Linked DNA regions of Zea mays. Each later gene encodes a partner of the first gene's protein in a complex. Links are inferred from orthologs where the notes say so. Each region holds a gene or a part of one and is shown in the gene's direction. Other genes may lie near its edges.

The links.
Region 2: 50S ribosomal protein L24, chloroplastic-like (region 1) and 50S ribosomal protein 6, chloroplastic-like share a complex: the UniProt entries of both Arabidopsis thaliana proteins name them as parts of the 50S ribosomal subunit. The link is inferred for Zea mays from reciprocal best matches to the Arabidopsis thaliana genes RPL24 and PSRP6.

What each region holds. Positions count from the first base shown.
Region 1 is NC_050100.1:50,135,514-50,140,168, reverse strand, and holds 50S ribosomal protein L24, chloroplastic-like, read left to right. Parts: upstream 1-1,720; 5' UTR 1,721-1,777; coding exon 1,778-1,906; intron 1,907-3,342; coding exon 3,343-3,381; intron 3,382-3,469; coding exon 3,470-3,697; intron 3,698-3,832; coding exon 3,833-4,015; 3' UTR 4,016-4,201; downstream 4,202-4,655. Other genes in the region: beta-glucosidase 25-like, read right to left, coding at 1-29. UniProt on the Arabidopsis thaliana protein: One of two assembly initiator proteins, it binds directly to the 5'-end of the 23S rRNA, where it nucleates assembly of the 50S subunit. Required for optimal plastid performance in terms of photosynthesis and growth.
Region 2 is NC_050099.1:216,898,364-216,900,588, reverse strand, and holds 50S ribosomal protein 6, chloroplastic-like, read left to right. Parts: upstream 1-1,153; 5' UTR 1,154-1,225; coding exon 1,226-1,591; 3' UTR 1,592-1,725; downstream 1,726-2,225.

The sequences.
Region 1 (4,655 bases):
AGGATATTAACCAGTGTCAGAACAGCCATGGCGTATCCTTCAGTTGGTAGCACTAACTCATAGTGTTTTTAGTCTAAGAATAAGTACTAGATAGGATCATATGACATATATATAAACCTTGTTCAGTTGGTGAAGCGTGGGAAGCAACTGAACGCTGAGCTAGTGAGCTTCACTTGTCTTGGAAGCCCTTCCAACGTGCGTCTCTACTAAGTAACTCTTGTGGAGGCCACAAGGTGCAAAATCTCTATCACAGTGGGCAAATTAATCAACAACCGAAGGAAACTACTTGACATGTCTAGCTCCGAAACCTGTGAAAAAAAATGGTCCACATCTGGAGTGTCGCAAGCAAGTAGAGCTTTGCCCAGACAGATTGAGTTTTGCCCAGCACTCCAGCATCCATGCCTTAAAAGGTTATAGTTAGAAAGGGGGAGGATTGCTAAGCCCTTGCCAGTTAGCCACATAGAGAGAAGGCCTTATTATTAGATCATGCCATTTCTTTTCTTACAAAATTAACAAAGTGCAAAGCATTACTATGGCCACGAGGAACAGATAGCTACGAAATGAAACTGTCGCAATTATCATGGAAAAAAGCCACACATTTCCTTATCCATTTTGTTTGGTAGCGCCACATAGAAACAAAACTTCATGTCACGATTTGCATAGTTATCTCAACACATGTGGCGAATAGAAAAGGAGAAAGAGAAAAATAAACACAAGATTCTTAACCATAATAAGATATAATTTGTGTCGGGCATTTGCATAGTCACATGCTTATCCCATGGGGAACGTTAAAGGTTTGCTTGCACGGCAGGACCATTCCTGATTCCCTAGATGGTAGTTAGATGACGGCGATAGGAGCCGAGGCCCAACTGCCCAGTGATGTATTGGCCGTGTTGTTTATGTGATCTGTCATGGATGTCCTACTATGATTCAAGGATTTAGGACATGCGCAGAACTGCCAGCAATGAAAAGTCGAAGAAAGAGATATTGACTTCGAGGGGGAGAAATGTAGTCCACTATGAGAAAAGAGATACCCAATGTCTCTGGAGAAAAAGATCTGAGGTAAACACGTCTAACTTGCAACCATGATTTGCAATAGAGAAATCCGATTGACATCCCACCCTTTCTCGGTGCAGGATGGGACCTGCAGCAGCAAAAGCGCAAAGCTTCGATGTCACCGCCATCCACCTACCCTCCATCGCCCAAACTGTCTCTGTCTCTGTAACGCGAATTTTATTTTACACAACAGCAAAGTGAAAAACTGGAGTAGGGGGTTCGCTTGCCTCAGCAACCGTCGCGTAGCTTGCGCGCCTCGGCGCTGGAACGGGGAATCTGGAGGCGGGCACGCATCTCCCAAGCAATCTCGCGTGGCCTCGCGTAGCGTGCGAGGAGACACGCAGAGAGGGAGGGAGAGAGAAAGAGAGCCTTGACCCCGCCGTCCTCGTCCTGTCGTCCTGATAGCTGATGCAGTGATGCTGATCAGCTGATGCGTGCGGAGCTCGCTCGTGGAGCCGAGGCCCTAGCCTGTAGCCTCTCACGGCGGTAGAACGAGCACCCATGGGCCTCACTGGATCACCTAAGCGTCTTCCAGGCCCATCTGTGCCTCACCTGAGGCCTGTCTCATTTAGTGACGAGGCCCAACCCACCAGCGTCAGAATACAAGAGCGCGTTATCCTCTCTCTTCCGGTTCCGGGCAACTCGAAGAAGCCGCGTGCGTTATCCTTTGAGCAGTTTGGGCGCTGAGCAAGTCCAGTGAGAGAGGGAGAGCGGCGAGAGGATGGCTGGGATGGCATCGCTGCAGGGCGCCATGGCGTCGCTCTCCATCTCCGCGCTAGGCGCGGCGACGGCGAGCAGCAGCAGCTTCTGGGGCAACCGGCTCGCCACCTACTCCGCGCCGCAGCCTGGGGTCTGTTCCTGCTTCCCAATTCCGTTCCGTTCTGCTGATGGTTTGGTAGATAATAAGTAGCTGTTCTGGTGAAAGATTTTACTCTGGAGTTTCTGGATAGCGTTGCAAAGCGCGGTCGGATGGAATTGTTCTAGGGACATTCGAGCTTGCATTACGGTTTTGGAGCTAGTCTGTATGGATTGGATGCAATGAAATGGAAAATTACCTTTGCATTGTTATTAATTGTGCATTTTCAAGGATGACAAACCAGGCTTCTAATATGACTATGTTTAGGGGTGTTTGACATCACTCTAGAGCAAAACTTTAAGGAAGACCTGGACAAAGTCAACTAAACACCCTAATTCTAGAGTTGCAAACTCTATAGAGTTTTGAGAGTTGTAGTATAATTTTTTGGAGTACATTTTTTGCTACTTTGAAAAATCCTTCAAAAACAATCAAGACACATCCAATGCACTGGTTATGAGAAAGCAATCTACACTTCGGAGCAGATATACTTCACCCAAAGTTTTGGAGTAGAACTATGCCAAACTCGCCCTTATTAGATTTCATATTACATTAAGTTTCTATTTGCTCCACGACACACACTAAATTTAGACCGTGTCCATATTGAATTTCGTCTACCTTCTTTTTTTATTTTTATCTTGCATGGAAGCTTAAATGGTAAGATTTGAGTGCGCCAAATAGATTAACTGATTGGGATTAATTTAAGTAAGAGAATTTCCTTTGTCATTGGTAATCCGGTATTGTCCTTTTTGCATATACAACTATGCACATGTTTGCCTTTTAGTGCTAATAGAGAGTATGCTGTGTTTCATGTGGTAAAATTTGTTCGAGTACTCTTTATTTAGTTTGTTAACTGAGGAAATTATGTTGCTTTTGAAGCGGTCAAAATGTCAACTGAAGAAATTATGTTGCCCTCAATGTGCCACTGATTTTGTTTATATATATTTATGCCTGAATTACCCCACATCACACAATACATATGACTAACTGGAAACAAAATTTGGCGCCAAATAGTGTATTATGAGCATAATGATGTTTGTATTTGAACCCTGCTTTCTTTTCTGTGTCATCTTTATTATGCCTTACCTGTATGTACTTGTGCCTGGAAAATTCCCAACTGATAAGAATCGGATGAGGATAAACCTTTCTGTTAAGAAGCAAAAGCAAGTAAAGAATAGATAGTGAGGTCAAGTAATCACTGTTGAAGGAAGTGATAGAACCACTGTATTTTAAGGGATATCGTATTACTCAAACATAAAGAGGAGCCCTGGATCCTGTAGTGTCTTGATCAGATCAACATGAATCGTAACCACTGTGTTTGAGTCATGCCATATCTCAGAAGCATCTGATTAGTGTCTCTTTGATTTGAAATGGAATCTTATGTCTTTAGGATGTGAAGTTCTGACAAGCTGTTTAATATGTTCAATATGCAGGTAAGGTTTATGGTCAAGATATGCCCAATTGAAATGAGAGTGAGTAAAAAAAATCTTTAGTCCAAATATTTGATACCTTTTTTATCCAATAATGTGAAATGTCCTAAAACTTCACTTTCCACTGCAGCTTAAGAGATGGGAGCGAAAGAAGTGTAAACCAAACAGTCTTCCTGTGCTGCACAAGATGCATGTTAGGATCGGGGACACGGTACAGGTTATTGCAGGCCGTGAGAAAGGAAAGGTTGGAGAAGTCACACGCCTTTTCAAGCACAACAGCACGGTGATCGTGAAGGACCTGAACTTGAAGTCGAAGCACAAGAAAGGCACAGACGATGAACCCGGTGAAATCGTCATGGTCAGCAAAATTTCTATTGAACTTGTTTTTTGGGCCTCTCATGATGCTTTGCACATATTGGTTTCAAGAGCATATCTGTAGTTTTAGTAGGTGCCTAATCGTTCTCTTGATCAGACTTAAATTTTCTTTGATCAGATTGAAGGCCCCATTCATAGCTCAAATGTGATGCTCTACTCTAAGGAGAAGAGTGTGGTAAGCAGGGTTGGCCACAAATTCCTGGAGGACGGGACCAAGGTCCGATACCTGGTCAAGACCGGTGAAGTAATCGACAGTGTTGAGAAGTGGGTAAAGGTTTTTAAGGAAGGAAATTCGGAGTAACAGTTTTAGCATGAAAACCTGCAAAATGCTCTGAACGCTGACTGCGTCTTGCATGTTGAATTGAGCCTGTTTATCCCTCTATGTTGTTATTTACGCCAGTTTTTCCCCCTGTAAATTATACAGTTGTCACCAAATCTTGCAACGCAAGTCAATGCGCATCAGCATATGCTGATCTTGTTCCGCTTCACCAGTCAGAGTTTTGGATGAAAAACTATGAGGGCATGTTCGGTTACAGTAATCCAGAGGGGGATTGGAGGGGATTAAATCCCCTCCTAGTCATTTTTGACTAGGAGAGGATTTAATCCCCTCCAATCCCCCTCTGGATTGGTGTAACCGAACAAGCCCTGAACGGGCTTGTATGTGCGGGCAGCCCGTGTTCGTTTGCAGCTCTGGACCCACTACTCTCGGTCTCGTCCTCACTTCCTCAGAAATATCCACATATATCATTTCCTATATTACAAAGGCATATTACAAAGGCGAAGTAACCTGTGCACATGAAGCAATAGTGCACATATAACATCTCAGTCTCTAATCTTCGATCAAACGGTTGCATCTCCCAACTCCGCATTTTATTAGAAAACACCCTCCACCTCTCCTGAATCCCTCTGAATCTTTGATGAACCCCCCAAGCTCCCTGTGC
Region 2 (2,225 bases), on another chromosome or scaffold:
GTTAGTACCTAGTTATCCCTTAAGGGCTTGTTCGGTTACACGAATCCAGAAGGGGATTGGAGGGGTTTAAATCCCCTCTTAGGGCTGATTTGGTGACCCGGGATCCCGGGAGGATTGAAGGGGATTGAGGGGAAAATTAGTTTATTTCCCCCTCAATCCCCTCCAATCCTCCCGTGATCACCTTGTCACCAAATCAACTCGGTTGATTTGGTGACAAGGTGATCACGGGAGGATTGGAGGGGATTGAAGGGGAAATGAACTAATTTCCCCCTCAATTCTCTCAAATCCCGCCGTAATCTCTGGTCACCAAATCAGCCCTTATTGGCTAGTTTGGAAACTCACATCCTCTTCGGGATTGAAGGGGATTGGAGAGGAAATTAGTTCATTTCCACCCCAATCCCCTCCAACCCTGAAGGGGATTTGAGGTTCCCAAAGTAGCACTAAGGGTTAGTTTGGAAACTCAAATCCCTTCAAGATTGAAGGGGATTGAAGAGAAAATTAGTTTATTTCTACCTCAATCCCCTCCAATCCCAATGGGGATTTGAGGTTCCCATTGACTAGGAGGGGATTTAATACCCTCCAATCGCCTTCTGGATTGGTGTGCCTGAACATGCGTTAATTGGAGATGGGGACCCATTGGGGACCCAAAACCCGAATGAGGATGAGTATGAGATGAATTTTGCACCCATAATGGGTATGAGGATGGACTAAATATGATAGGAATGAGTTTGGGATGCTATAACCCGATGGAGAATTCTCCATTAACATCTCTAGATGAGTTAGAGATAGCTTTAGAAGTACAAGCTAGTTGTGCCGAAACATTTTTCAACAAAATTCGGGAGACAACTGATCGTTGTACCAAAAGAAATATATTATGTACCCGTGAGCCTCATTTTGTTTTGTTGAAGCTTCATCAACGGCACATCTTAGACCACGGAATTTTATAATATAAAAAGGTGACATGGCATTTTATGATAAGAAGAGGGCAGGGGACTAAACAATTACAAGTTTTTTTTAAAAGAAGTGGAGATATAAAAAAGGAAAAACACTCGATGAGTGAGCGGTCAGATGATCGCACATAGTGTGGGCCAGATTTCGCTCAGCGTAGCAAATCCCGCAATCACAAAACCCAATCCGAAACAGTCCTCCTCCCATCTTATCCCAAACACAACCCACACTACTACCCTACCCGTCCGCCTCTCTCGAAAGCGCAGCACCAGCGAGCATGTCGCCTGTCACCGCACTCCTGGCGGGCACGGTGGTGCCGCCGGCCTCGGCCCCGTCGCCAGCGAGGCACGCCCGCCATTACTCCGTCGGCTTCTCCCCGCTCCACGGCGGCGGGCGCGCGGCGCTGGCGGTGGAGTGCTCGTCGCGGCCGCAGAAGAAGGGGACCAAGCACCACATGAAGACGCGGCCCAAGAAGACGCAGCCGTGGGACATCAAGCGCCGCCCCACGCAGTACCCGCCGCTGCCGCCGCTCCCGCCGGACTGGACGCTCGTCGCCTCCGGCGCCACGGTGGACGTGGAGGAGGCGGAGGCCCCGGCACCCGCCGCGACTCTCGTCCTCGACGTGGCCGCGGCCACCGACTGAGGCCGCCGCGGCGTGTCGCCAAAGTTGTTCCCTTGAACCTCCGCATAAGCTGTTTTTCTTTGAGATTTATTATATAATAACAATGGCTGCCCAGATTTTGTGATTATAAATTAAGAATCTTTCATTGCTGTCCAGATTGTGGCTGTCACCGCGTCCAATTTAGTGCGTTGCTAGATGATTTCTTGGTTGCATGCTGTGTGCAACGCTTATTCCATGCCGTCAGTGGCAGTGCAGACTGCAGAGTGATTAGCTACTCCATCTCCATAGTTTGCCAGTTAAGTTATGATGGGATATGGATTACGCAAATATAGTCTTCAAAAGGGGGGGAAAACAAGCAGCCCAACGAAGACATCTGCCTCTTGTTTGACTTTAGGAGCTGGCTCTGTTTGATTTGGACAATTGCCTGATATTGGGGAAGGTTCGGTAAACAGTAAACTCAGCTTAGATGGCAGGAACAGCCATTGAACACTGCAAATGATAGGAAATTTTAGAAGTAACCTAGTTGTTTGTAATGTTGCTTTTGTTGGAGCATGATTGTGCGAATTCCATATGCTACCTGCCTACCTAGGGATGGCAATGGATACGGGTATGGGTAAATAACCGCGGATAATTATCCATTGGATATGAGTATGGT